Drosophila melanogaster: one gene and its partner. The protein of the gene in region 1 interacts with the protein of each later gene in a pairwise test. Each region holds a gene or a part of one and is shown on either strand. Other genes may lie near its edges.

Region 1 (17,290 bases):
TAACCCACCGTAGGCCATTTATGGGCATGGATGTTTGCGGGCAGTAGGATGGCTGGCTGGTAATATTGTTTTTCATTTGTGTTTCATTGTTTTCAATAATTGTTATTATTGTCCGGAGCTGTTTTTCGATTTCAACACCTACATATTTTCATAGGAACTCGCACATGCGGTCGCTGCTGTCCCGACACCCGCAACCCGCCTCCCGTATTGCTAGTGCAATTTCAATGGCCGCAAACTACAACAATGAGCCATTTAAATGTCAACCACAATGAGGATCGGGTAAACATATATATGAATATTCACATATTTATGCACCGCACTCGTGCAAATGTGTGCGTTAAGCCACGGCATGCAACTGCTCTGATTTGATAAGACGCTTAAGTGCTTCGGTTGGACTAATTTATTAAAGTGCTTTATTAATGCCCTTACGAAATCCCAGCCCCAATTGCGTCGAGGCATCTGGATGCTCCTAATTGTTAGTCCTGCCCGAAGGAAAACTATAGCAGTCCAACAACAATGGCGGTCTGGGTCACATTTTCCAAGCCAATGCGCCTGCAACACGGCGAGAGCGTAATATTAATAGGCGTCTTCGTAAGCAAAATCTCTTGGCTCCCCGCCCAAGTTTCCATGGTTGTTGCTACTGCTGTTGCTGTAGCTTTTGCCATAATTGCAAAACGCCTTAAGGCTATAGACGCGTTCGAGCCCATACATATGTCCATACATATGTAAACACATAATTATGACTACAGAGGGTTGATCAAGGATTCTTAAGGAATAAATGTTGTCGAATAATACGGATTGATGCTGATTATCGTTTGCAATAAGTCAGTTATATGGAAATTCATATCGGAGACCAAAATATTGTATAAAATAACAAGGGCAGTTTATTATCACGAAAAAATAAAGGGCAGTAGAGCTTAATTACGTGTGTAATATCACTTTTACTTTAAAAATGTAAAAGTCCTTAAAATAATCGTTAAGCCAAAAATATACGTTATATCTTTACAAGCCTAATAGTTTACATAATATATATTATATACATATTATATATGTATATTATATTATATATTTTTTAAAATAATATATATCTTTAACAAAAAGTCCAAGTTTTTTGTTGGTTTCTGGAATAAACTGCAAAAACCTCCCTCTGTCGTATAGACAACATTTCAGCCTGCTGCATCTTCATTATGTGCGACCAAATTAAACACATACACGTAATACATGTTCTCAATCGAGCACGCATATTGTTCAACAATTTGGCGACTCAATTCGAACTTGACTCCAATTAGATTCGAAGGCGTGATACAAATTGTTTGTTATTGTTCCCGGCCTGAAAGCCATTTAATTATACAAGTAGTAATGTAATTTTTCAATAATCGAATCTATCCGCAGAATGGAGCAATTATTTCGGACCTTTTCATACGACCTGATTGGCAAACAAATTTAAATGAAAAAGTGCAAAAGGACAAAAAAATGGCAGCGAACAACAAATTAAGAATGCGATGAAAGGCGGCAATTAAACGGTAAAAATCCATGGCATTTCGCCTGGAAACTCCCCACCATCCTTCTGCCACTCCAGAATCTCGATGTGAATCCCCTGAATATCCTGATGCTGCAGCAGCTACGTGTGCCAACTGTCAATGCAATCAGTAGCCGTAATGCTGCACCGGCGGACAACTCAAAAATGTAAATCAAGCATGGCTCTGATGACGTAGTCAGAAAATCATTAAAATGAGCCCACAATGGCACCAGTAGATCCTGCCGAGAAGAGTCAGCAGCGGTCAACAATGCTGGACAGCAGAAAACAACAAAAAATGGCCAGTCTGTGTTTATATTTGTGTCGAGCAATTAAAAAATCATTGCAGCAGCAGCAAAGGAGCTGGAAAAGTTACGGAGTTTCGAACTGTGGAGTGATCAGGAAATTTTTTCTTATATAAAAGTTTAATGGATTTCTATTAATTATATATACTCATAAATATTCTTTGAAGTTCTGTACAGTTTTCAATATATTTAGCAACGAATTTATGAAATATATATATATTTTTATATTATTGTATAATTAAAATAAATAGCCACGTTTAAAACTATTGAGTTATATACTTCCCTATAAATTAATCAATAAATAAGATAAATCTGGCTTGTTGCCTTTTTTTGAGTATGAATATCCGTATTCTCAAAATAATTATAAGTACATTATTTTCCAAATTTATATTCCCCTGCTCACCGCTCGTTCAGTGGGTATTGAGTATAAAATCCTCTTGTAATTGTGAAGCAGACGCGTTGTACACACACAAACGCGCATTACTCATACGCCCGGTTGGCTTGCACCTTTTGTTAAATTTTCGAAGTGAATGGAGGGGTAGGGTGCAGAGCTAAAGGGTTGGGAGGGGCAAAAGGCAGCTCTGGAGGCAACCGAGATTTTGTCGTGGCGCTGTAAGTGAAAAGGATCACGACCACGCAAATGCGCAATTTATGTCGTCAGGTGCAGTCAACGGACACAGTTGTCCCGGCCCCTCATCGCCATTTAACCCCCTTTCACCTCGTCTTTACCACCACCACCACCAACAGTCCATACCCCACCTGTTAGCCATAGTCAACTATCTGAGCCCACACCATCGCCATCGCCATCGCTCGCCAGCTGGTTCATCCACATTTCACATCCCTGGCGCGTGCAACACGTAAATGGCAGCGAAATTTATCAAACGCTTTATAGCCCAAAGGCAAGTTCCGAAGTTTTTGGCTTTCTGCGGTGTGGAAAAGCGATGAGGGCGGAAAACCTGGAAAATAACGCAGACGAGACGGTGGTTTGTGGGGTTTAATCTTGTTCACATGTCACTGCAGCTTGTTTGGTCATAAGTTGGCCGCCTTGGCAGGCAAAAAAAAAAAAAAATAATTGACGTGAAATCTGGTCGCTCTCCATTCGCCTTTCGCCCGTTACCACTGCCGATTACCACCCACTGCCCACTTTATATGCAGTTAATTACAATGGCGCTGACCTTGCGTGCTGCATGCCCCGCATTTTGGCTTTTGTTCTCTTGGCATGCCGCTCACGTTTGTGCCAAAAATCTTAATTTCTTTGCGGCTCTGCGTGTCCATTTTTCTTGGCCAACCGGGTTTTGGGGTGCAGCAGGAAAAGGAAAGCAAAGGAAAGTCCTGACCATCATTCATAATTGGCGTGCTGCACCTTTAAGGCGTATTTATGGCACAGTGGCATTATCGGTCAGCAGAATTCTGGTCTCTGGGCTAGTTGCTAAATTGCACGATATATATCTAATTTCACCGCTAAATTGGCCAGCAAGGAGAATTCAAATGGAATTTCATATTGCGGTCGAAAAAAGAGAAAAGCTTGTAAATGACATTGCAACTGCATTCGAAGGTGTGGTGGCAGAAGAACAAAATAAATTAAATAAAATACAAAATGCAGGGCGGTATTAAATCATTTCTTCATTTTCTTGAAACCAAACATTTTGTAATATTTTTATGGCATGACACATTCTTAATTCTACTGAAAGTTGGTCAGCTTTTAAATTGAATTTTTATGGGGTCAGAGCCGATACTATTTATATCATGTGTTAAAGGGTAAAATAGTTCAATTTTTAGTGTGTTTAGCATTTATGGATTTATACATTAACCGATTGAGGACTTTAGCATTAAATGAAATATCCTTATGCGGCCCAAGGCTAAAATAACGGCCAAAAAATATATTACAAAAGGGTTCTGTTTTGCATTTTACATTCCTTTGGTTTTATTAAATTTACTTTGAGATTATTTTCCATCCTCTTTACCAAGAAGATGTATACCATAAACAAATTAAGAATATGGAAATGAAAAATTGTTAAGGCGACAGCAACTTGAATTCCTTTCAGAGAAAGCTAACAAATTCCATTAATGCTCGTTAATCCCTTCCCCATTATTTTCCCTCGGCTCCTTGGAACAACCAAAAACGACGTTTCCTTTTCATTGTCTGAAAATTCCTCTGTCTCAACCCACTGTTGGGCCTTCGACCTTCTCTGGATGGTTAGAAATTTAAATTTTGATTACAAACTGTGTGCACAAGCCACCCACTCCGGGTTCTTTTGGCGCACAACACAGCAATTATTTGGCGGGGCAAGCTTTTGACAAGGTTAATGCAATTTGCTGCACCCAAAATCATTCAAATTTCGCGTGTCGGCGTGAGTGTCGTCACGCATGCCCGGTTGAATAAATTATCATAAATGATTTTGTAAACAGTTTTCGTCCGCTCGGCTCGGCCGCAAAATGAATTTATATTATTAGCCAGGCCAAAATGCACTTTGCGCCTGCTCTGGCCCGATTTCTTGGCCCCTCCCGTTCGGCGTAGTACTTTGCATACATTTTTAATTTCCCTAAGTGAAACGCCACAAGTTTTCAAATTGGCCTTTTTCGCGTGAGAGCGCCCGAAGTGCCGGCTGATTTTCTATGCATTTTCCCATCTGATGAGTATATATGTGCCCGCAGCTCCATTGTTCTTTGTGGCCTTTTGTGCCACGGCGTGGAGCTGGAGCCCACGACCCCACACAACGGATCCCCTTTGGTTGCCGAAGAGAGCGCCGCTGGCTCATCATAAGTTTTGATTTCAGGCGGTGCAGCGAATGGAGCGAAGCCCTATACATAGAGAAAAAATGGGTACTTTTCTTATTTCATTGGGAATTTGTAGGGCTAAACATCTTTCATCGAAGATTCCTGTTCTGCACACCAAAATTAGTATCAGGAACAAGTACATTTTCAATTCCCGGATAAAATTTTCTGAAAATTCTGAGATTTTGGATACATACTGGATAAATACTTAACTGAGCCATTCATCACAAATACATTTTTGGCTAACTTACTAAACCTTTGTACTTTACGGCCAAAATAACTCTATGATTTTGACACAATTTTTTCGGCTTAACGGTTAAAGTTTCTTTACCAATCGCATTCAAATTTTAAATTAGCAATAATGGAATTTTTTTTATATTTTCACTTTAAATGTATACCATTCTTGACCACAGCTACATCAAGTTATAGTTATTCTTCATAAATAGTCAATTTTCAGAAATAAATTGAACAAAACCGCGAATTGCGGTTTATTTTGGCCTTGGGTTTTTATTGACCATATTTTTTGGTGAAAACCGCAAACTCTCAGTTCAATCATTTTATGTCGGTGATTTTTTCAAAAGTTTTTTAATGTTGCAAAATCAGGTTACATACTCAGTACTTTAAATACAATATTTCAAGCGCAGTAGTTAAAAAATGAAATGACACTATTTTATTAAACGCTCAGAATAAGATTAAACTGTTGCCGAAGATCTTTGAGGAAAAGAAAAAACAAAAAATTCAAATATTTCGACACTTCTCTCATGTTCTACCAAGAACAAAAAATCCGAATATATATGTATGAGTTCTGTCAATCTTGACCGAAAAAAAAAATATCCTTGGTTGAAGTATTTTCGCAAGTGCACTCTGCATGCTCCATGCTGCGCTTTTGTTTGCTAGCCGCGGGCCAGGCGCAATTGCCTTTGCCGTAGCGAGTTGCAGCTGAAGTTGAGGCCGGAGTCGCAGTCGGTACTTGGTGTCCCGTAGTGGAGCCCGGAGGAGAAGCCCCAACCTGGTGGATGGCGGGTGTGGGGTCTTGGGTATCCTGGCGGGATGGAATGGCTGCCTTTTTTCTTTGTCTTGGGCACTGGCACATCCTGACTTTGGCTCACGCTTCGACTGCATTAGACGCATAGTCGGGGATGGCTTTTGACTTGGTCGTTAGCGATTATGGTTTGCCGCAGCCTCTCCAGCCAATCCCACAAAAACACCCCAACTCCCAAAGCCACTCCCACTCAGCCTTATCATCATCAGCCACCCACAACGTTTGTCAAACGGAAGGTGGAAACTTTTTCAATAGTTGTTCCGGAACATGTTGGATGTGCGGACGCTTGATTGCTGCACCCGCATGATGTCTGCGATTTGTGTGGATTTTTTTTTGTTTTTGGCCAACTGCCTCGGCCAGATGTAAAAAGAGAAGACTTTTAAGCCAACTGTTTGGCGAGTATCTGATTGAAATTTATGCGAAAGTCAACCCTTCAAATGGGTTGCCTAAAAAAATGTCCTTGGGTGACGAAATGGTTTTTCGAATTTCATACAATGTTTTTATGACTTTATCCCCTTGTTTCTTATACTTAAGTCTTTTTACATTAATATAATTAACTTGTTTTATAGAATCAAGAAATTAATGTACTATGTAAATAAAAGAAATAATTTTCTCCCTCGAACTTTTGGATGAAAAGTTATCGTTAAATCTGTTACTTTTAATTCGATTCCATCCACCGCTTTCAGTATATTGATGGAACTTATCGATAAACTGCCAGCTGACCATTTCGGCCTAAAGAGTTAATGTCCTTATCCTTTTTTGCTCAACTGAGCTACTCTTAAGAACCACTGTTCTCTTAGCCGTCCCAACTCTCAAGTTAGCCCACTCTCAGTCGACCATAAAGGCTAAGACCTAATTCCCAACTTGCCCTCGTGGCAGGCCAAAAGGCGTGCTAATTGTTGGCATTGTTTCTAGGGCTAGACTCCCACAACAGCGAGAGTGAGTGAATGCGAATGTGTATGTGAATGAGAGCGAGAGAAAACGAAAGTGCTTGCATGCAAAAATGTGGCCCCACCGAACAACTAACCACCCACCCGCTCACTTCACCCATTTCCCCCGCAAGGACCCGCTTTTCCGAAGAAGAGGGAGCAAAACAAAGAAGCCGAAAGGAAAGCGACGCCTTTGATTTTTAGGCCAAGTGACCAAGTTTTCTCACTCCACAGCGCTGACCGCAAAAAAACGCCAAAACCTCGTATATAGTTTTATGTATGTTATGCACACTTACACACACAACCGGCACACTAACTAAAATTATACCAAAATATTCAAATTTATATTGATTTTGCGCCTGACGTGAAAACTCTCACTTAAACTTCAAAATAATGAAAAACTTAGCTGAGCTGAAAGCAGAAATGCATGCAAATAATCTGGTACTAACCTTGAAGGCCTTGAACGAGGATACGACATAGAAGGCTCCATCCTCCAGTTCATCGAGATGATATTTTCGATCTCCGTCCATGGAGAACACATATCGAGCACCCCGTGGCAAGTCCATCTTGGGCGAGATCTTATCGAGAAGATTGTCCAGTGAGGTTACATCCCGTCCGGGACGATAGCGCAGCTCCACACCCGGAAAGAATGGATCCCCATTCCGGTAGAACACCACACGGCGTGCCTTCCAATAGGAGAGATTATTATATCGCGATGCCGCTGCACTTGAAATTTCTGGACGGGATTTAGATCGCACCAGCGGCACCACTGGCGGCTGCTCCGAGTTCTCGCTCATGTTGTCCAGATACCCGGGACTAATGGCGCGACTCTGCCGCCCACTGGTTGCACCAGTGGTCGCACCGTTCCGTTGCTGCCAATAATCCGGCACCTGGCGATCTCCACCAGCCACCTGCTCGCTGGCTGCTAAGTCCTCCTCATCATTATCGTACCGGCTGGTGTTCTGAATCCGGAAGCTGGAGGACACTGGGCGCTTGGGACTCTTCGCAGGACTGCTGCGGTTGCTATCGTTGTTGCCGTTGATGTTGCTGCCGTGCTTGTTAATGTTGCTGCTGCTGCTGTGGATGCCGTTCCCGTTCCCGTTCCCGTTGTGCAGATTATCATCCAAATGGGGCTGCGTCGGTGGCGGCGAAACGTTTCCCTCGAGCGGTGCGTTCGGACTAATTTGTGGCATTGTTTGGCCGCCCAGAACGGAGTCGTTACTGCCAGCTGCCTCTCCACCGCCATCGACCTCATCCTCGCCGGTCTGGGCCTGACTCAAGCTGGCCATATAGTCGTCGTTCTCTTCGTTGGACATTGTCCTGGTGTTGGTACTGTTGCTTGTCCTGCTCCTAAAGCAGTCACGTCAGCTTTCTCTTAAGGAATTGGCTCAACTTGCGTGCTCGGTTTGTTGTGGTCAAACGGAATCGCTAAGGGCAGCGTCGCGTCGACGCAAAGGAAAACTTGGAGCTCCCAAAAGGGGGGCAACTTCTTGGAGGTTTTCTTCGAGCACGCAGTCGCTGGTTGCCCAGCAAAGAACTACGTTGCTGGCCTGGCTAAAGTGGAAAATGTTTGATTAGAAATTTGATTAAGGATTTAATTTAAGTCATTTTAAATAATATTTTTGGAACCAAAAAAAAACATTTTTTTATAAAACATCGGTTCGAACATCGAACGTCACTCTCCTAATATAAGAGGTCTATAAAAGGTTGGAAGTAAATTCTGTTAAGGAATCTATCAGTTATAATATTCGTGATTCAAAATTGTTTATCATGTACCAACTGTGGAGAAACAATGCCAAATCTTCACAGTTCTCTGATAGCCTTTAACATGTCAATAGATTGTAATTATCGAATATATATTCCCATGTAATGTCTTCATTCATAATCCTCAAACACAGCATACATATGTCCTGGTCCTTGTTCCACTCAAGCCTTGCACTTAGAAATATCAACTGTTAACTATATCCTCACCCTCTACGTAATCGATATGCCACGAACTCTCGATGCAATGTGTCCAATGCTCCCATTGCCCAGGGCTCTCCAGAGTTCCGCCCTCTCAGCCTGCCTGCTGCTCGACTCCCCCACTTCACAGGACTCCAAAGGATTCAATGGGCTGTCCGGCGAGCACTTGCCACTGCCTTTGTCCCAGCAAACAGACCAAAGAGCCCCACTCAACCATTCGGCGTGGGCACTACAAACATTCACACTTCTGCGGGGTCGAGGGACAGGGTTCTGGGTTCTGGGTTCAGGGTTCACAGTTCAGGCGGCTCCACTCCTCTCCTCTCCCGCTGGAGAGGCCGAAAATATCGCGTATTATTTGCCCTGCCTTGCCTTGCCTTGCATTTGGCTACCTCACACATCGATGAGGGTACACTCGAAGTCGTATGAAAAAATTCTAAACCATTTTGGGTTTAGGTTCAAGAACTATATTGTGTCCAAAATAAATGCATAAACAATTCTAGTTGTATCTTTATATATATATTCTATATATTATTACTAATATCTAACTAAAAACTCGCACAAAAGGACCCGCAATATCACTTTGCAAATTTGTTATATTTAACATCTGAATACCCCAGAAACAGGATTTTAGATTTAAGGAAAATCATTCTGGCTGTTTTTCCTGATTTTTCCCCAGTGCATCGAGTGTTAAGCACCGAAAAATTGCAGACGGCAGGGAACAAGCCGACGACTCCTGGCTTAAGTGGCATTGGTCTCTTGTGTCTTTGACCACTCTGCACTCACACTCACACACAGTTCACCTACAACCATTCACACACACTTCCACACAAACCGGGATCCAAGTCCTTTTCACTGCATTGGAATTTCGTGTATTTTACAATTGCAACAAAAAATAAATATTTGTGGGCCAAGGGAGCTGGAATTTTCACTGGTGAGCCCTTTTACTTGATTTTTTTTATGGTTTCACCTTTTTATTTGTGGGGTGGCGGCGGGCTTGGGTTTGGATTTACCTGTTTTATGCAAATTTGTTTTTATTGCAACACGTTGCACGTTGCTTCTTCCTTTTGGTCGTCGTATTTATGGCCGTATATTTTTTCGGTTGGGGTAAAAGTGGCGCGGTGGCTTCTTTTGCGGCAATTAGGTTAATGACACTTGGGCCGGCAGTTGTTGCTTTGGGTTATTTATGCACAAACAGTTGTGCCTCTCCACTTGCAACATCAGCAGCATCCACTTCCACTAATTGCCTATCAATCAGCCGCAATTGTCTCCACTTTTGGATCGGTTTTTCGGGGAAAAACGGGAAAAACACTCACTTATCGGATAGCACAAACCCATTTACTTGAATCAAATTTAATGAACTCGAAGGCGAGTTTATTAAAACATCTCTCGCGCTGGCAAGAAAGTTGGCCAAAACAAAAGTGCGAAAGTTTTGCTTACTTTCTGGCATTTACCGATGCACAAGAAGAAATTCCGTGTGGCAACTTTGCCGGTCAAAGTGTTTTTGAAGTGTGTTTCGAGCGGCGCTGCCTGCTGGCTGTTCTGCTGGTTTTCCCGCAGCTTTACCTTCTGCTGCTACTGCTGCCTTTTGTCCACTCTAAATTTCCTTGGCGACGCAGCCAATTTTCTTAGAGAGTGCCTTTCTCTTTCTACCTCCTTTCCTCGAATCGCGAATCGAATTACACGTTCGCCTGTGTGAGTGACTGACTTATGGGGCTAACTGCCCACCGCTTCCCGCCCGCTGCTCCACCACTAATTGTGCCCTGCTTAGGAAAACCACAAGCACTCGCACACAAACACACACACTCACACACTCACACAGACATGCACTCATACCAGTGCAAAGGAAAATCCAGTGGGCCATTTGCTGTGTTCTCTTAGCTGTTTGGCTTTTTCACCTTTCTCATTGCACTATTACCTGTCGACCAGTGGCGTCGCCAGGAGATTCCTTATCCTCTCCAATTATTATGTTCGCATGGGATCCAGTAGATTCCTGGCTTTGACCGATTGATTGTGGGATTGTGTCTTTGCCCGCGGCGGAGCTTCGGCCTTTAAACTGATTTCCAGGGGAGAGCTGCAGGGTAGGGAAACGCTTACCATAACACCGTAGCTTTAGCTAAAGCAGGTCCTTTTACCCCCTGTGGCTCAAAGGCTTCATGGCACTGTGGTTAGATTTTTTTGACTTTAATAAGCTGGATGGCTATTTTCTAAATGATATAATACATATTTGGTTTAGAAGATGGTCAAAGGAAAGGCACAAACACTTTCTAGAAAATAATACAAATTATCTAAGCCCTGTTTTATTTACATTAAAGAGAGTTTCCCAACATTTTCTATGATTATTTAATGACAATTGTAGTAAAATATAATTTAATAAGCAAGCATATATATGCTTATAGCCATATCCGAGGCTTGCAAAAACATTTTTCCCAACGATTAACTTTTATAATCGCTTGACTGGATATGGCAGCTGGATTAATGGTACGTAATTGAAACTTTATATTTATATTTTCGAAATTCCCAAACACTGCACCACAGTACCTGACTTCCCCCGTCCCAACACCGCCATTAACCACCACCACTTCGCTTTCAAATTCTGACTTGGGGCACGTTCCCCGAGGGGAAGTCGCAGTTTTTTGCTTATCGTGTTTATATTGTCGTCGTTGTGTGTGCTTGGGGTTTATGTTCGTGTGTTTTGTCGTCGCCTTAGTCAGCAACGTCAACGTCAACCTCACGGATCCAGCAGCAGCACCTTTCTCATAGAGAAGGTGCCATACCCCTCGATAGAGGGGTCCTCGAGGGGGCTGGTTATGCGCCACTCACATGCAACTACTTGGCCAAAACAATTTGTGGGTTATTTTCGCTGCTTTTGGCAGTGCTGTGAAATTTTCTGTGTCACGCTGGTCGCACGAGCAACAGTCCCCGCGAATAGTACACTCCCACTAAACCGCAGAAATAAATTCTATTGGCGGGTGGTAGAGATTGGCTGGGGTAATGCTTTCATTTTTTCTATCGTACAATTAGGCCAAACGTTTGTGGAAATTTGTTTTTATTACAATGCTATTACTCGTAAATTGTATTGGTTGGGGGCGAGGACTCTCCGTTAATAACTTCGTGAGTTTCCTTCGCCGTACGCCCTCGCATTCTTTTAAATTAATCACATTTTTGTGTGGGCGACGCAACGTTTTGGTGAAGTTAATGTATTATTTTAATGCCATTTCCGGCTGGCTGCCTGATTTATGGATTTTCAGCCATATTTCTGTTTAATTATTTCGCCAGCTTTGTGAATTGCCACACAATTGAATCATCAGATGAAAGTAGCTGCGGATTATCTTTACTCCGCTAAATGGGAATTTTTTCCCAATGGCAATTTCAAAGTAATTTTCTCATGCCCCGCAGAGGTAAACTTTTAAGCTGACTTACGTAGCTTCGATCTGAAGCATCATTCTATCCAGTTTCAATTTCAATTATCTAATTTTGCCCAACAGACCCAAGCTGGCAAACAACAAACTATTAGAGGAGCCAACAGTGGCACGCCCACATCAGTTAACAACTAAAATAAGCTTCCTTTCTGTTGCCAATACGACTCCTTTGTGCCTCCCACTTTCGGCCACCAATCAAAGTGCATGAGAGTGCTTAGGGACTGTGCTGGCAGGAAGTCTTGATAACATAAAATGGTATTTCAGACATTATTTAAATATATTGGTATCCATTTTATATTATTATATTATTTGGAACCGTAAATACACATTTTGAAAATTTTTAATAGCTATACCAGATTCTTTTACAATTTTCTTTGTTTAATTTTATATATTTGGTTTCTGTAATTATAGAATTCTGTGAATAAACACTATTGGATTGCATATTTCTTAAAGGCGTTGAACGTTTTAGTAACTTTTTTGTAGACATCTTGCCCTCGTTTTGGATTAGATTCCAGCATCACTGGGTAAAAAGGTACCTGCCATAATGAGCTCTTTCAATGCCCCAGAGAGCGGGTGGGACAAGGTGCGGGTGGTGCAAAAGTGCAGGCTGCAGCACCTTGTTGCCGTTCGGCATTGTGCTCACATGAAGGACTCTGGTACTGCGGCAGCGGTGGCAGAATCCACGAAAAGTCGATGCCCACAAAGGATGTTTTGTTTGCTGTAAATGCCCACTGTGCAGCAGCATGCACACACACGTGCCCACCTTAAATTTCCAGCTAATGTACTCACGTGCAAACACCCACTCATGCACAGACACACACACACTCCCGCACATGCACACACCATTGCAAAGTACGAGTAAACAGAAAGTGCAATGCAAGCCACTAAAAAGTCCAATGCCGCCGGCATGCATTTTGTATTGCATACTTTTCTGCGCCGTGGCCGAAAGAAAAAGAAAATTGCAGGAAAATGGCAAAATGGCCGGGGTGGCGAACATTGGGTGGTGGGCGAAATGGCGAAATGCAGTGGAAAATATTGTGCAAAGGGCGCGGTCAGAAGTTGACAACGACAACAGAGCCAACAATGAGGCATTTTTAATGTGACCATTAAACAATGGCAACGAGGACAATGCACACACACAGACACATATACACAATCAAGCCAAAAAGAGGGAAAGAAACACATTGACTGCAGTGGACGGCGAAAGTAATAGTTTACCCAACAAACTAAATTTGAAAAAGATATTCCAAACGTTTAAGACTTAAAAATGGAGGTTTATATCTTGTATAATTGTAGTAACAATTATGTTGGGCAGGCAATCGATTACGTTTCGAAGTACTTATTCAATTGGAAGTACTGACTTAATTGCGATTATATAGCACTTGAAGTTGAATCAAGTGGAGCATTGGGATATCCGCTGCAAGCCAAAGTTTCCCAAGACGAGGAATGTACATATATATCTATATATGTGCGGAAAGAAAGGCAGACTTCCCATTCAGCTGCTGTCAGTCGCGCGCGAAAACTTTTCAATACAAAGTATGAAGCCCATGACGCTACTAAAAGGAGACATTGAAGAATGCGACAGCCCCGATGAGGCGACGGCAACAGTGCATCAGAGGGCCCAGGAGCAGGCCAAGAGCTATAAGCCAAGCAACAAGCCACGGTAAGGACTTTCGGCCGAGCCGAGCCACATATACAACTGAATGAACCGCAACAAAGGCACTCAACTGACTCCGATTGCGACTCCGGCAACTACTACGGCTACAAGACATGGTCATTGGCTATACAGACGAAAAGAGGATATTAATGAAATGAAAGTACATTTATACTGTTTTGCTTTAACTAAGTTAGAATGTATTATAACAATTGGTTATAATACTTATAAAAATATTATATAAGCTGTACAATTTAAACATTTAAGAATAAGCACTTAAAAATAAGCTAGAAACAAGGAGAAGTAATTGATTGATTGATTACGAATGCTCATGATATTTTTCCACCGTGTGGGGGTCTGCGATTGCGGCTCAAGCTTTGTCTTGCCACTCAGCTGAACAACAAACCCCCAACCACCACCGCGTTCCCATAGACGCTGTTGCATTTGGCCATGGACAAAACCGCAAGCAGGGCGAGCATAACAAGAGTTCTTTGAATGGCATGGTAAGGAAAGGAAAGGAATCGAGCTAAGGGAGGTGCTATATAGAAGGGAGTCGTCGGATGGCTGACCAGGCAGCTGCCATGTCAAACTGAATGAATGGATGGGAATATGGCTGGAAGGCAAACCGACCACAAGCAGCCCAACAGCTTGGCCAACTTATGTGAACGCACATGCACTGCAAAACAAGAAGCGTTCGACAGATTAATCAAATAAAATAAATAAATAGTTATATAGGAGTTTTGTTATGTGTTAGAGATGTCGCAGTTTCTATAGATTTTTATACGATGTATTATCATAACCAATTACGTACAAAAATTGAATTATTCATCATAATTTTCAATGAACTTAGTGAAATGCTTCTAAAAATGAATTGCTTAACAGAATACTAATTGCATTGCCCAAGTTGCTCACATTTTTCAGTGCTCAAACACATGCTTTGGCACATAAGAATGGAGAAGTTGAAAAGTGGGAACGGAGGTCCTGCCAACGCATGTCAAGCTGGCCGGCCAAGAAGAAAAGCTCATGTCCTCAATTGTGAATGCGACCAGAATTGTACTCGTAGTCGTAGTCGTGCTCATTCCCATTCCCAATCTCACTCTGAAACTCGTACTCATCCTCGAACAAAAAGTTTCAATTGTCTCTGGCCGAGAATGTGTGAATGCGATTGTCCAAGTTTCTCATTTGCGGCAAGGGTTTGGATCCGTTTCGGTCTCGTTTCCTGTTGAATGTGGGCACAATTAATTTTTGTTGCGTACATGCAGCATGTGATCGCAAGGATAATGATGATGCAGATGGCCATGCCTTATGCGCCCATATTGTGCAATCCCTGGCCTGATAAATGCCCCACTTGACCCTTGTGCCAGTCGAGATGTCTTCAGCTCTTTCCGTTCCGACTCGCAATTCGGGGTCCTGTCTTTTGTGGCCAGCCGGGGGGCATTATCTCCATCTCAGATAGTGTCAGCACCAGAAACTTTCGCCATTAATGAGTTATGCAAAGCTCGAATGGAAGCGGGTGTGCACTTAGCGCCACATCCTGCATCTTAGAAATTTAATTCAAACCTGCACATTTGCTTAACCCCAGAAACATATATCTTAAATCTAGTAGTTGTCACAAGTCAGGGATTATATTCCATGGAAAGACTTCAGGCATTTCGTTTCGTGTTTCTTTTTAATATTTTGAATTGTTATGGTAATAAAATTACAATTATTTAAAAATTTATTCATTTTAATTTCTTAGAAAATTATTTAAAATGCATAACAAATTGCTATTTCACTCTAAAAATTGTAAATATTCAGTATTGCTAAATTCCTTATTTTCTAGCCTTGAGTGGGTTAAACCTTGGCTTTCCTCTTTCTAAATCTTTTGTCGTTAATAAAGCAAATGACCAAAAAGTTTTCAGCCAGGAAATTAGCATTTGGCAGCATTCGCTGTGAGCCAGTTTGGCCACAATGCTCCTCCATTTTCCTGGGGAAATGCAAATGGCTGGCCAAAGTGTTACGGTTTCTGGTGCTGCTTTTTTTCTCGCTTTTGCCACCGCGCAGTTGATGGGTAGCCATGATTAGTTTAGGTCGGAGGATCGCAGACATAGCCATTCCCATTCCCTACGTTCGCGCAACACGCCGTGCCTCATGCCGCATTCTGCTGGCCACATGCTCGCGCTGTTTTGGCATCAAATGTTTCGCACTGAGGCTCTCAGTCTGCTTTTAATATGATTGCAATTCCCGCTGTGGGGCTCTAGCGAAACACTCGCATTCACACGGCTGGATGGTCCACTTTGCGGTCGTGGATGCACTGCACCATTGGCGATTGCTCCACACTGGTACATCACTTTTTTAGGCGATCATGGGCTCTTATCAAGTCTACAATATCCGAGATCCAAGTACGAACTTGAAGTGAAAAAAGAGTTTAAGACAAATTAATTTTATAATCTTTGGTTCAACATTTATTTTTTCAAGACGCAGTTTTATGATATAAAATATAAATATTACAAATAAGGGAAAAACAATAAATTCTCAGATAATATTCTGTGATTAGAATTTACCTGATGTGTAAGAGAAATTCTTGGAGTTATCATATAAAGTAATTCTTTGTCTACGCATTTCAATAAAAAGATACTCCCCATTTCACCGAGATGGTGTTTTCTTCAAACGGGAAGAATTGCAAAAAGAAAATTACAGCGGGCAGCGGCAATTGCACACGAATGACATTTCTACTGGCGGTTCGACATTAGATTCGCTTCGCTGGACCCAAATGGTTTTTGGCCAGCCGTCGGTGTCGTCATAGTCCTGTTGGCATTGGACCATAGTCCTTCCACCTTTCGCTTTCCTTTACTTTGTGGTAATTAATGTACATATGTATGGGTTCGTGTGAACTTGTGTCTGTGTGTGTGTGTGTGCGAGTGCGAGTGTGTGTTGGGCATCAATTACTTTGGCTCTTGCAGTTGGCCGGTTACAAATTACAGGCTATGAAGGCGCCTCGCCTTTCATGTGGCGAATCCTTTTTTTTAACTTTATTGGCAAATCAATTAGGTGGCTTCAAATTGTGTTTGGCTGCTGGTCAGCGCTTAATTTATTTGATTTCACTGACCGACCGACCGAACGAGCCTTCCTTCAAATGAATGCCAAAACTTTTTGATCATTTTTATTTAATATATATATGGCATTATTTTTGGCTCTACCCATGCCAGATGTTGTGGCTCTCGGTTCTCTGCGGTCGTCGTTATTGCCAACAATCAGTTATGGATAGTATGTTGATGGGTAGGAGATTTTCATAGTGTGAGAGATGGGGGGAGGGGGAATCAGCGTAAAATTTAATTAGCTTTAAGTGTGTTGGTTGTGGCGGTTGTTCGGGAACGTTGTTGTTTGCTACGGTTTCGTAATTTGTTGTTAATTACTTTTTGCAGAGCGGCTTTTTATTGGAAATTAACGCCAGCAGGTTTTCGGTATTCCAGTGTGTATTTCTATTTGTTTGCGGCAGTCGGTGGGTGGCGGCGGGGATTGCTACTTAAATTGAAATCAGCCATAAATAGGCATTAAACTGGGTACATAATGATTTTAATGGCGGTTTTCTATATTATGCTGATTACTGTAAATTTTCGGTTTCAATTTGCCCGTTGTTATCGATTTCCCCCTTATCTGTTTTTTGGTGATGGCTATGTTGTTGCTGCCGCTGTCTTTTTTCAATTTG
Region 2 (14,260 bases), on another chromosome or scaffold:
CAGTTTGGCGAACTCTGCCATGAGTACGGCTGCGAAAGAGGGCGCAAAATGGCAATCAATCAATCAAATATATGTACATATATACTAATAAGTCCAAGTATCGCTGTTCGGGTTTTCAAATAAGTCCGGTTAACTTACACACAGAGTCACCAAAGCAATAACCAAAGTTTAATGGCAAAATGTAAACCCATATGTAATTCAAGAATGCCAACCAAACCTCCTTGAGCTATCGCGGTAGAAGTTCCCCAACAGTTTTATCAAGCTATTAGGAGCTAAATGCGGAAGTGGCTGCTTATCAGTTTCTTTGGCAGCTTCACATCTACCCGAACGACCATTCCCCGCCTGCCACTGCTCCTACACCACCTTCACCTCCACCTCTTCGACTCGTTTGCTTTTACTGCTGATGTTGCTGCTTGCGTGGACAGACCCACGTCGAGGTTTCGTGGAAGTGGCTCTGGGCAACGAGGTGAATCTGCTAAGCGGTGAACCGGCTTGACCTGCTGAGCCCGACGACCTGTTGGACTTTTGGATAAGCACTCACCCGTGGAGCTGAGGAAGATGTCGCCTGGCCGGGTGCGGGCGTAGCGCATGCTGAGGCCCAGGATGGCATTCTGCAGGGTCAGCGTCAGCAGGCTGATGTACTTCAGCGTATTGGCGTTCACTGTGCGATGGGAATAGGAATACGTGACGGGGGCGGGCAGGAGCGCCATGTCAGTACCGCTGGAGTAACGCCACCGCACTAAAGGCCAAATACTCACTGTGTATGCTATTCATGGTGCTACGCTTCTAGCTCTATTGTCTCAACTCCAAAACCAAATAGAAACCGAAGGCAAACAAAACGCCGTAGTTGGGGGTACACAAAGACTCCGTTCCTGGCCAAGATCAGTTGTCGGCGGGCCGTTCCGTTTGGCAGTTCGTTCCCTTCAAGTTGGCCAGAAAAGCAGAAGAGCGCAAATGAAGACGACTCCACTGGACCGGGCGACACGTAAACAACAATCAGAGCCCGAAGCTTCTGCCAGCGGCGGCTTTTTATCGCCGCCTATGTGGTTGTTGTTGCTGCGCGCCAGGGACGTGGTCCTGGGCTTGCAACGGGGGTCATAAATGCGAAACCTTCTTAATTGAATGCAAACAAAATTTAAAAGTGCATTGTGCATTTCAGTAAAGTAAATACACCTTACATATGCTCCTGGGGGATGGATCCCCATTTTAAAGCAAGCTACGCCCATGGCGTGCAGCTTTTGTTGCTATTTTCGCAGCAGAGACCGACTTTTCGATAGTCACAGTGCTGGCATTGTGGCGGAACTCGCGAAAAAAGAAGTTGCTTGCAAAAAAAGCTAGATATACAATAATCGGGCATTGAGATTGCTTAAATTAATGTATATATTATGACTTTAAAATTAAAATTAAAATTTAACAAGAGAGCATGGGGATCGAAAGTAGAAAACAAGAAAACTCATGGACGAAATACATAAATACATATTGTGCATGCTTGTTCTACATGCACATGTATGTTAAATTTTTAAGCCCAGCGAAATTTATTTTTGCCGCACTAGGTTGGCTATTTACTCAGCTGCCGTTGAAAATACGTCATGAAAGCCAGTATATGCAGACAATTAAAATAAACATAAAACATCAAATTAAGCCAGTGAATGATGAACAACCTGTTGGCGGCACCTGATAATTGCGATGCATCAAATTTACAATACAACATTACAAATATATTGCCATTTGGGGGGATTAAATAAATTAATTTAATCAAATGCAATAAATGAAAACATTAATAATTTCCGTGTTGATTTTAAATCTTTTACTTTTTTGAGTTCATCACTAGAATTCGCTTTCGCCTGCCGCCTATCGATAACATTGCTCGGTGTGGCGATTTCGTAAATAGTTTTCTAACTGAATAATGGTAACAGTTGGCCACTTTAGTTGATAATTCATAATTGCAAAGACCAGAGACGCCAGGACACGATGAAGGAACAGCCGCTAAAGGAGATCACACAGCTCATCCACGCCATCAAAGTGGGGTAAGTCGTCGGTTGGCAGGCACTGCGATTCATTTGGTTGTTAAAGTGGCATATGTTTTGCAGGCTGGTGGAGGGATCCTACAACATAACCAACAAGACGCTGGACATCTTCAAGTACATCATCATGAGCAAGAGCTGGCAGAACGCCGAGTGAGTTGCAAGGGATGGCACACCAAGGATAACACATTAACTGATAAACAACTCCCCCTCATTTGACAGTGCTCTCATGCAGATTGTGCGCGACCAGTGTAAGATCCTGCAGGCAGCTCTGCCCCAGGAGACGGTTACCTCGAACATTGCCAGGCGGATCCTCAAGCTGACTCGCGAGGAGTTCGATCTGTTGCACGCCAAGGTGCAACACTTCGCGGACGACTCACAGGCCTCGCTGTCGCTTCACAAGCTAGTCACGCAGACCAGCGAGAGCAACGTCAGCGTAGATTACTCGGTGCCCCAGCATGGATTGCGGGAAGCGCTGCTCGACCACCTGCAGGAGGTGGAAACGGAGCTGGAGACCAGTTCGGAGAACATCTGCGTCCAGGCCGAGGAGCACATCCATTCGTCGGAGATCATCTTGACACTGGGACACTCGCGCAGCGTCGAGAATTTCCTCAAAAGGGCGATCAAAAAGCGTCAGTTTCTCACCATCATCGTAGCCGAATGTGCGCCAGCCTGCCGGGTTAGTTGGGTCTCTTTATGGGACGACAGTATTTGTGGGGTGTAAGAAAATGCTCTTATGTTGCTTAACAACTGCCTATGTCTTTTACAGGGTCACAATTTGGCCGCCAGCTTGGCCAACGAGAAGAATGTGGAGATTGTTGTGATCCCAGATGCGGCCATCTTCGCTATGATGTCGCGCGTCAACAAGGTAATAATCGGTACGCACAGCGTGCTGGCTAATGGAGGACTCAGAGCGGCGTGTGGAGCGTATACAGTGGCCCTGGCCGCCAAGCATTACTCCGTGCCGGTCATTGTACTGGCGCCCATGTACAAACTCTCACCATTGCATCTGTGCGAGCAGGACGCCTTCAATATGGTCGGCTGTGCGGAGGATGTGATACCCTACGATTCGATTCCAGCGCGCGAAGCCAAGGTATACAGTCCCATGTTCGACTACGTGCCTCCGGAACTGGTCACCCTTTTCATATCCAACACGTAAGTAGTGCGCTTATCGGCCTTTCGACTCTTTTTTATTGCATTTATTGGATTCTTTTTTTACTTAGCGGTGGCCATGCCCCCTCGTATGTGTACCGCCTCCTTACGGAACTGTATCATCCCGAAGATTTGGAGATTTGAAATCGTGTTTGTCTCGTTGTTTTAGCAATTCTACCAATAAAGTCTACAGTAAAGTAGCAAGCCCATTTCGATTTGGATTGATTTAAATGCATCAATTTCGTAGACATTTATAAACTTTAAAATTCAACAATAATTATATCGAATAAGCAATAACGGTGGATCGGTTTTCGATTTAAGAACATTACTACTTTATCTTGGGTTGATATAGTTAATTTCAGGTAGCACGTTTCTCGTAATTTCCCTGCGGCACACGATCCTCAACCTATTTTTGAATATTTTCAAGCAGCTGCGTGAAGTCGGCCAGGCTATCGGCATAGTAATCCGGCTGCGCTTCCACCGGGGCGTTCAGCATGTCCTCCTTTGTTAGGCAGCCGCTAAGTACCAGCAGGGACTGGAAGCCGCAGGCCTTGCCGAACTGCACATCCTGCACCAGTGTGTCCCCGATGAAGATGCAGCGCTTGCAATCACGAATCTCGAACATTTCGCCAAACATTTCGCCCAAAATGGGAGACGGCTTGCCCAGAAACGTGGCCTCGCGTTGCGTGTAGCGTTTAACGTGCTCCAGGAAGTCAAAGAACCCGGCCACATTGAGATTCTCCGCCAGTGGCATGATGACATCGCTGCCGCCGGCTATCAACTGGCAGTCGTCATTCTCCTGAAGGTGCCTAATGGCCTTCGCCAGCTCCACGTACGAGAGGTCCAAGTGGATGTCGAATAGCACAGCGCCCACGGGCTTTTCAATGGCCAGGTGATCCACCAGCGACGCGGCCGTCAGGTGCTCCTTGACTTGCTGAAGGAGAATGATATGAAATTTAATAGTCACACGGAAGCTCTTGAACTAAATATATTGTATATATATATTTATAAGTAATAACCTTCCCCTTACCAGCGATTCAAACTCGATGTTGTGCTTACGTAACGTTTCGTTCGCTTCGAGGGACATGAGGGAGTATACCCGCTCCCCCGGCTTGTGCTTCTTCAGGTACCGGACAATGGTCTTCACCGGATGAACGATGTCGTCCTCCTGGACGTTCTTGGCGCCGATGTGGCGAAACTTCTCCATGTAATCCTCCTCGGACCGGAAGCTGTTGTTCGACACGAACTTGATCTGCTTGCCGGCCGCTTTCAAGGCATTGACGGCGGCTCCCGTGTTGGGAATCCAGCCCACCAGGAGCCAGACGACGCCATCGCAGTCGCTGATCACCAAATCGAAGGAATCGATGAACTGCCGCTGCTCCTCGAGGCTGAGCTTCAAAATGTGTCGTGGTGGCGACATGGTAATGTTGGTTTTTTGGCTTACAGGAACGAATTGGATGCTGGTTGCGCGCGCACGGAAATTCCACAGCCGACTAACCGCCTTTGCCGGCATTTAACCTTCAATGTCAACGCATTGACATTGTTCCCCCGGTTCCTCGAACCCGAACCCAACCACCCCTCGCCCATACAACCCTATGCCTACGTACATATGTGCTAAGTATCTTTTATTACACGATTTAGCGAACCCGAGCGGAGTGGCTCGTCCGATAAGATTCCGTATGTAAATATAAGATCTTCTGTGTGGAACGCGGCATGAAAGACTCGTGCGATTTGTTGTCTATTTCACATTCCCATCTGCCGGACAGAGCGGATAGCAGTCCGGAAAATACATACATACATATGTATCTCATTTGCTTCCTAGTTCGGATTTACAATCAAGCGTACGCGTGATTATACCAAGTTTATCTTAAGGAACAACTTATAAAATGAGTCTGCTGCATTCGTCAAATTTTGGTTATTCATGCTTTTGACTGTCATTTGAATTTACCGGATATAATTTAGAACCATATAGATTATCGAACTAGTTCCACTGCCAAATGTGACTGAAATATATTGGTCTCGAAATAATTGACAGCCTTATTATTGAATTCAATTCTATGCAATCAAAGCGAAACCACAAACCCAAAATGGCTGTAAAGAAAAATTTAATTAAATTTCAAAGGCTTTTGGCATGCTATAAATATTATATGTATTTTGCGATTCACATGCTTCCTTTTCTTCCTTTCAATTGCATTTCTTACAAATCCTCTGCGATACACGTGATTGAAGGCGATTGACATACATACATATGTATGTATGTAAGTATTGATCGGTGGTGCATCGGCCTTTTGTTGCTGCTGTTGTTCGCTCAAGCTTATAACAGGCAGGCACAAACGTGTACAGTGAACACTCGAGGAAACATGTATGAGCACGCTTTCCTCAGTTCGAAAAGCAAAGGTACAGTTGACGCATGGAGAAACTAATAAGTATGATGACAATTGCGAAAGTTCAGCAGCGTAGACAACAGAATGCCTGTCGCCCTACGGAGGTCCCACTGTGCTGGGCCGTAGACCCTGGCCACACATGTCAACACCTTGACATTGATGGCTGCGGCATTTGGCCAACGGAAGCGGAGAGGGGGAAATGGAAAAGCCGCCGGAACGGAGGAAACCACAAATGGCCAATAATTCAAATTCAAATGCAACATTTCAATTGGCGGGGTCCGGAAGACGCTCGTGTCCATGTCCGCGTCCGCGGCGGTGAAGGCAAAAGAACTGGCCAACGGGGCGGGTACTTGATGTGCGAGCGCGTGTGAGTCGCGTCGCTTGGGGTTCGGCTGCGTTTTTGGTTTGGTTTGGTTTGGTTTGGTTGGTTTTGGCTGCGGCTTTTTGGTATATCGCATCACAAGTCCAAATCGATTGCCGGGCCAGCTAGTTTAGTTAGGCGTCTCCCTGATAAGATACGAAAGTACGAGTTGCGAACGCTTGCGAAGAATTCCGCCAGAAGAAAAGCACATTCGGCCACCTGAGCTTGGAGCAACTGTTCCCGGCGGTTATACAACCAGACGACAACTAGTCAAAAACTAAGGAAAATTGCCGAAAATGTCTACCCTGGCCAATGGTGGAAAGGAGGAGGATCTAAAAATTCTGGCTCAGCTGAAGAGCATCGAACAGATCAACGAGCAGCGCCGCATATTTCTCAACAGCACGATCAATGAGGAGGTGCCGGAGGCCACAAACGGATCGACGGTTCGGGAGGAGGACCTGGAGAAGAATCTGAAGGCCATAGACGAGCCGCAGTCTACGAAGATGCCCCCGGAGGAGGTGGCGAAGAAAACGCCTGATGAGGTCCCAGCCCAGGAGCAGCAGAAGGAACCCGAAAAGGTGGAGCCAGCCAAACCAGTGCCCCCCAACACGCTCACCCTGAACGTGAAATACGCCACGCTGCCAAGTCCGAATGTGGTGACCCTGCGATCCCCACTTTCGCCGCCCCCTAAGCCGCCAATGCTGGGCCGCACCCGCAGTACAGGTCCCGCCGATGGCAAGGGTCCAGCGAGCAATGGAGCTCTCTCGCCGGACAGCTCCATAATCCGTCAGAGCTTTCCCGAAGGCGTCATCACGCCCAGCAAGCCGGAAAAGAGCCCTGCCACGCCCAGCGAGGAAGGCCCGCCGACCGTCTCCGCCCGCCACTACGAGGGACTGATCGAGGAGCTGAGGTGTCCCGGCTGTGCCGGCGCCATGAAGGCGCCCATCCTTCTGTGCAAGAGTGGCCACAGTGTCTGTGAACAGTGCACCCGCATTTTGCTCATGTGCCCGCTCTGCAAGGTAAAAATTGACGTCAGCTCGCCAAAAGTGTTGTTCGGTTATCAATATCATATTGCCCCAATGTGCGCTCCTTATCTAGTGACGTGCAAATATACATTGGTATAGACTAAGGAAAAGCTACTCGCAGATTGCCATCATCGACAGGCGCAGGACAGAATGATCTCCGGTGGAGATTAGTTTATTACCCAGCCGAGGGTGTCTAATCAATTTTCAAGTGCAGCCCCACTATCTGCACTACAAGTGTGACTATAAAAAATAAGCCTTGTCTTGCACTAGGAAATGTGTGGTGCCACCAGTTCACTCTTCTAGGGCATATTTATTAGTGCCATCTTCTAAATATCCAACCGAATCTGAAATCTGCAAGAAGGAAGTCGATATTAACGTTTGCTCGGACTTTTCCATAGATAAACTTGTATGCTCGCTAACCAATGGACAAAATAAGTACATCGAAAAGCCCGTGTCATACTATCACTATGATAAGTATGATAAAGTGTATAGTTTCTTCATCATCAAGTTCTTTCCATCAATACTAGGAAATGGGGCATATGATATGGGTAACACACATCACATTCGAACTTGCACACTAAATTGTATGCCAATCCCGATGTCAATGCAAATAACTTTATGTTTCAGGAACCCTTCACCAACTCCCGATCGCTGACCGTGGAGGCGCTGTGCGCCAAGGCGCACTTCCGGTGCGGACACGCCTCCGGCGGCTGCCAGGTGCGGATGCCGGTCGTCCTGCTGCCGTGGCACGAACAGCAGTGCATGTACAAGCCGATGAAGTGCTTCATGGGCCGAGTGTGGGGCGATTGCCGCTGGCAGGGGCGCGAGGTGCAGTGGAAAGAGCATCTGGAGGAGCAGCACGACGACCGCCTGTTTCGGTCAAGCAGCGCTGATCTGGAATGGAATCTAGGCACGCGGCGGAAACCGTTAACCGGCTACTATGTCTTCCAGGCGCACGACGAAATGTTCAACTTCTACGAGATCCACGACCGCCAGCGTGTGCTGTTCACCATGACCTGCACGTCGAACCGGCGGGACAGCAAGTACAACTTCGCCTACGAGGTGACGGTGCTGCTGCCAGACAACGAGGCGCTGTCCATGACCCAGAAGTTTCCCGTGCACAGCGAGTACGACAAGGACATCCTCATGGAGGGCACATGTGTCAGCATTCCGCTGACGGAGCTTAACCGCTTTCTGGACCAGGACAAGGTGAGGGAGTACTTAGCACCAAATGTCCAGCATTCTAACTAATCCACTCATTCGACGACCACCCGGCAGGTTCTTCATTACCGCGTGAGTGTGCTGGCGGTCAAGTCGCCGCGTCGCGCAAAACCACCTCGCCAAAATCTGCCGCAGCCGGCGGACCTGGAACAGGCCCCGAATGGAGGCGTCAACGTGAAGAGCGTGCCGACCAACATGATCATTACGCGCACCTACAAGGAGGCCATCGGCGAGGTGACCAAAGCGGATGTGGCCAGTCCGGACTCGGAGGAGGATCCGGCTGCAGCCGACGGCGCTGGGGCCATTGGAGCCGACGGAGCCGGCGGTGTGGAGCTCGAGCGCAAGTGGGGCACACCGCAGCTGCACTTCAATCGGAAATATCTGCGGAACACTCTGAACGATGCCACGCCCGCGGAGGATGAGCTGCGTCCGCTGGCCGCCGATCTGCGCAATGGAAATGGCGACGATAAGCTCTCCCAGTGCAGCAACAGCACGAGTTACACGAAAAAGGTGTCGGATTCGCTGCGAAGAAGCTTCCGGGCACTCAAGGCGGATATCGTGGAGCTGCGCCCGTTCAGCAAGAAGGCAGTCAGGGATGGATCGACCTCTCCGGTCCAAAGCAATGGCAAGTAGTGATTCCGTGTGTGTGCCTTTTCTAATTCGTCAACAGTCGCAAGAGTTGAAAGCATGTAAATATAGCAAATGTTTTAATCTATTGTATATGTACTAAAACCGAAATAAATAAAATAAAAAATAAAAAAAAAAAAACAAATTATACTCCACACACGTTCGTTACTTGAATCTCAGTCCGTAGCAAGCTGCGAATGAAACGAGTTTGGTTTGGTATTGGTTTGGATGACACGTTTTATCTAGGACTTAGACTACTCAGCTACCACTACGCGACTCCTTTTGCGTGCTACAGCAAGCCCTGCATCTCGTTCATGAACTGCAGATAGGCGTCATCCTTGGTGGGCGGCTTGCTGTGCGCCTCGGAGTGGGCGTGGTGTCCATCGTTGGCCGCATGCCTGGGCCTCGCCGTGCGTCGCTGATCCTCGCGCTTCACTCGCAACGTGGACGGTACAAAGCGGGTGACATCCGCACTCAGATTCCTAATGAGTAAGTTTGGAATGTTTAGTAATGGGAATTGGTTCTACTGCGCCGGAAAGTCATCGAACCCACCTGATTTGTGGCTTGGCTGTAATAGTGGCCACACCCTTGGCTGACTCCTTTGGTGCACCTGCGCCGCCTCCCTGCTTATTGTGGTGCGCAAGGCGCGGAGGCAGACCTGGCGGCGGTCCTGGTGGCATCCTGATGCCCATGCGCGGTATTGGTCCCAGGCCATGCGGTGCCCTGGGTCCTGGCGGCGGTCCAGGTGGCATGCGTATGCCAAAGCCGGAACCCGGGTGAGGAGGTCGCATGGGTGGAGGTCGGTACATTATGCCAGGTGGCCCAAGATTAGGAATTGGCGGTAGGTGTGGCAGCTGTGGCGGCGCAGGCACAGACGACGCTGGTGGCAGCGGAATAGTCGGCAATGTGGGCGCTGTCGGAGGAGCTGGCGCGGGTGTCGCTGTAGATGATTTGACTGATGCTGGCTTGGTCGGCACTTCGGGCATATTTTCATCCTCATCCTGGTCATCGTCGTCCTCATCGTCCGTACTGCTGGCGGTTCTCTTATCGGAGTCAGATGTTCGTTCCTCTATCTTATCTATATCTTTCCCATCGTCCTCCTCCCGCTTTTTGTCGGCCTCGTCCTCTTTAGCCGCCAGTTTTCGATGCTTACGCTTGTGCACATGCTCCATTTCCTTCATGAAGTCGTCGATATTTTGGTTATTTGGCTCGGTGGCCTCGCTGTTCTTGTCCTTCTCTTTATCCTTGCCCTTCTTCAATGGCTCTGGCTCCTCCTCCTCGCCCTCACCATCGTAGTCAGTATTTCCCTCGGCATCGGAATTGAGTTCGGAAAAGGCAAACAGATCTGGCGGCGGTCCCGGCGGGACACCCAGCCAATCCTTTTGCTCGTTCTCCTTCGATTTCTCCACTTGCGCCTCGCTGGCTAAATCGCTATTTCTGGACACGCCTGGTGGAGCGCCTGGAGCATAAGGCGGCAGTGCCATTGTCATGGGCGGTGGGGGAAGGCGTATGACAACGGATGCGCCGAATCCCGCAACCACCGATCCGCCAGTCGTTTCGGTAGAACCGCCTGACACGGCAGACACCGGAGCGGGCAGTGGAATTTCGTCAATCTGGACGCTCTGGGCGTGCTTAACGCTTTCGTAGTACTGCTGCTTCTTCAGGCGCTTCTTCTCATACTCCACCTCCTTGCGCTTGAGGTCCGCCCAGTGCTCCGGCTCGTCATTGTGCTGGAAGATGGATATTTCAGTTGTTAGGTGGACTACACTATTATCGTGCCGAGTTGGTCTTACATAGAGTCGCATTACGCGGTCGAATGTTTCCTTCAGCTTTTTGCGCTTGTCGCGCAGCACCTTCTCGTTCAGCGGCGATGGTTGCAGAACGTTGTACTCTGCAAATTGTAGACGCTGCATGAGTGGCTGACGCGAATCCTGCAGGCTCGATGGACTACTCACCCATCTCGTCGATCTTCTCCATCTCCTCAAGTATCTGTGAAGGATCCTTGTTCTTCAAAACGGCGGCCCGCACCATTTGGCGCTGTTTCTTGTTCTTCTTGAGCTCCTTCTTGCGGGCCTCCTTGCCTGAAAGGTGCAGCATGGTGGATTCAACATATCGAGCTAAAAAGGATCATACTTACGCGCCTGGTCCGTGGGATTCATGTACTTTCCACTCTTCGTGGTGTTTATGGAGCGGCGTCCCATCTTGCTGGCTATTTCTTGTTGCTGCAACTAAACGAATGACTTCACCTAAACGCCGGCGCTGCAATATTGTTACCGGCGTTTTTTTCCTGCCCAACGTCCTAATTTGCTTTTATAATATCACTTTCAATTGATTTATTTATATTTTTATTTATTTATTCGTTTGCAGCTCGATAGGCCGATACACGCGCAGGCTGATATCGATAAAAACAGAACAGTAAGCACTAGAGCTCGAAGTGTGACCAACAAAATTTGGCGGGGAATAGCTAACATCCCATACGCTCAAAAGTTTTCTCCGATGTTTTTCATCACTAGCCAGGATTAGAAAAACGATAGACGATTATTACCGCCACATAGGTAACGCGGCAACAGACGCGAAATTGCCAGTACGATGGCATTCGAGAGCTCTGCACAGCAGTTAAAGATTCCGGACGAAAGGATGAATGCACAGTTGAACAATAGTGGCGTACAGGTAGGATGTGAACCAGTCGCCAGCCAGGTCAGTCAATCCTAAGCCCATTTGGTTGATTTCATGTAACCGCGTGCAAGGCGTCGCAATCCCATGTCCTATTCACACCCAATCAGATACCGGGCGCGCTGATAAGGATTTCAGACGATTTCCTTACCTCCACGCCGGGAGAGGGCCAGAAGGACGTGCCCACCACGGAGAGCACAAAATTGCAGAACCTGCACAGCCGCAAGCTGTGGGACATAGGTAATAACAATGTTATCTACTTGACACCTGCATTTTCATTTCGTTTTCATGATGCAGGTCCTGGTTCCATTCATGGCGAGGGGAAGACACCGAAGTTGGCCGTGAAGCGTCTCTGGCCAGGCTGCGGGGACGACGAGCCGAACGCCAAAAAAGGTAAGTGGGTCTGGTTATGGGAATATGGGATATCGGGCAGCCCAAGCTAAATTCATGCAGGCAACTAGCTGTGCTTGTGCTTTTTAAGTCATCCCAATAACCGGCCTCAAACTTTCCCGCTATCAGTCAACATTGCCGTTTACAGAGCTTCTCGTGCCGTTGTTTTTCAGCACTGGCATTCGAGCAATTTGTGTCGATATACGATAGGAAAATAACGCCGCTACCTCAAATCGAAAAAAGTCAAAGCCGCAAACAAAATAACGAATTCGATTTCGCATTCGAAATGTCCGCGAAGCCAAGTGCCAATTCGGAGGACATCCTTCTGGCCGGCCTGCTCCAGGACTGGAAACTAGAGGACCATGACAACGCACAGATTGGCTGCGACCCAGCGCCCATGCCGGCCAGTCAATCCGAATTGGCACTGGTTCATTTGAAGTTGCCGTGCAAGACGCCCCAATCCCAGCCCCAGGTGGAAGCCCATCAAAATGCTTCAGTTGCGACCGTCAACAGCGACAGCGGAAGCATAATACTAGTGTCCGATGATTCCTCAGCTACGGCGTGCAGCTTCCTTCACTCGTCCGAGCTCTGTAACTCCTCCGACTTCGAAGAACTGCGCAAGGAGTTCACCGAGGACTCCTCATACATCGATCTCTCACTTGATTCGGGCAGCAGCAGTGAGTGCCGATCAATCAGTAATAACAATAATAATTATAACACTGCGAATGCAATAGATCCTAGTGCCATTGAAACCGACATGAAGACACACAAACTGGGCGCGAAGCGCAGATCGCCGCAGACCAAGGGCGATGTGTTGGCCAAAAAGATTTGTGAGTAAGAGGTCGAATTGATCTGCAACCTTAGGGGCACCTGCTCTAGCTAAACCATTTACTAAATTGCTACTACGCAGCTTACCAGAATCTGAACGAGATGAACATCTCCTCGAATCAACCCGTGGTGACGCGCAGTGGTCGTGTTGTGGTCTCACGTCCGAACCAGCAGTTTGACTACTCCTCCTCCTCCCAGTCGAAGGGCGATGGCGAGGAGGACTCCGACGAGGTGTCACTGGATGCCGACGACGATGAGTATGAGGGAGAAGATTTCGATCAGCTCAAGTGGACGGAGCGCAAACGGCGTAGCTTTAGAAACACCAGCTTAGCCTTCAGCCCCGATGGCAGCCGCTCGTCGCCGGAGGCAACACCTCCGATGGTCTATGTCGAATTGGGCGGCAAAATCGTGATCATTAGGGATAAACCACAGCCCAATATCGTTCTGGAAGACGATAAGGAACTCAAGACGCAGATGCACAAGTTTTTGGGTCTGATTCCATCACGTCGCAAGCTCTTCGATCCGTCGGAATACAATATGGATCGGGGGGATATTGAGATGGATGTGTACGTACCGACCAGTCTTGTTACCAATCCATCACCTAGGTCCTCACCAAGCCCAGTTACTCCATCGGCCAGGTCACGAATATGGCAGGAAACAACGCCGACATCCATTTGCTCCAACTTGAATTTATCGCATACCTACACACCGACCGTGAATGAGCTCCAGACTAAGCACATGGATGACTCTATAATCCAGGTGAATTTGGACTGCTTTCAGAAGAAAACACCAGACTCTGTCAAGGAGCCCATTGATCTAAGCGAGCTTCCCAGCCAAAAGCAACTAGCCACCAACTGCCGCCGCCACAAGAGCTGTGTAGCCCGCCTGGAGCGGCACCCACATTTCTACGGTTTCGTCCAGTCGCTCAGACCGTCAGTCTCGCTCAACATGTGCCATCCGCTGGCCCTCACCTTCCGGCGGACCAATTTCCAGCAATCTAAGGTGGCACTGGCCAAGGTTCTGTTCAACATGTTCAATCACGCGGTCTTCCACTGTGGCCTGCAGGTGCCCATTGTTTGGAAGCACGCAATGAAGAAGCGCTGGAAATGCGAGCTTGGCTTCGACGCCTCCGGCAGGCGCACAGCACAGATCCTGCTTCTGCACAGCATAGACACTGCGGCCGAGCTTATCTATCTCCTGCTGCACGAGATGTGCCATGTGGCGGCTTTCCTGTTCAACCGGGAGTTGGGTCACGGCGACAACTGCCGCAGATGGTAAGATCATTACTTTCTATACATTTAATGTGTCATCACTTATCTGTGCCCATTCCTCAGGACCTACCAGGCGAAGATGGCCTTTCCGGAGGTGCCCGCCCTCATGGAGTGCATAGCTAGCTTCATGTATACGTGCAGCATGTGCAGCCGTTCCTCCTACGGCTTGGCCGACTTGAAATCGTACAACATACGCTGCTACTACTGCCAGTTCGAGGTGAGCGTGAAGCCCGTTAGCAAGGCGAACATGCACGAGGGCGCCCGTTCCGATCGGACGATGACACCGTTCAAGTGTTTCATCCGT

What was found.
Region 2: the proteins of DCX-EMAP (region 1) and CG2680 interact in a two-hybrid assay, tested with the Drosophila melanogaster proteins (one large-scale study listed by BioGRID).

What each region holds. Positions count from the first base shown.
Region 1 is NT_037436.4:14,894,707-14,911,996, reverse strand, and holds the start of DCX-EMAP (Doublecortin-domain-containing echinoderm-microtubule-associated protein), read right to left. Parts: upstream 8,193-17,290; 5' UTR 7,761-8,192; coding exon 7,017-7,760; intron 1-7,016.
Region 2 is NC_004354.4:2,702,747-2,717,006, forward strand, and holds CG2680 (uncharacterized protein), read right to left. Parts: upstream 4,682-14,260; 5' UTR 4,597-4,681; coding exon 4,207-4,596; intron 4,111-4,206; coding exon 3,583-4,110; 3' UTR 3,405-3,582; downstream 1-3,404. Other genes in the region: Ugalt (UDP-galactose transporter), read right to left, coding at 1-29, 542-710; eIF2Bbeta (eukaryotic translation initiation factor 2B subunit beta), read left to right, coding at 1,972-2,027, 2,091-2,177, 2,247-2,703, 2,794-3,179, 3,248-3,320; CG2681 (uncharacterized protein), read left to right, coding at 6,218-6,940, 7,574-8,155, 8,225-8,800; CG2685 (uncharacterized protein), read right to left, coding at 9,084-9,276, 9,347-10,524, 10,588-10,685, 10,750-10,875, 10,932-10,995; CG2694 (uncharacterized protein), read left to right, coding at 11,384-11,464, 11,542-11,707, 11,765-11,860, 12,031-12,534, 12,592-12,687, 12,768-13,959, 14,020-14,260.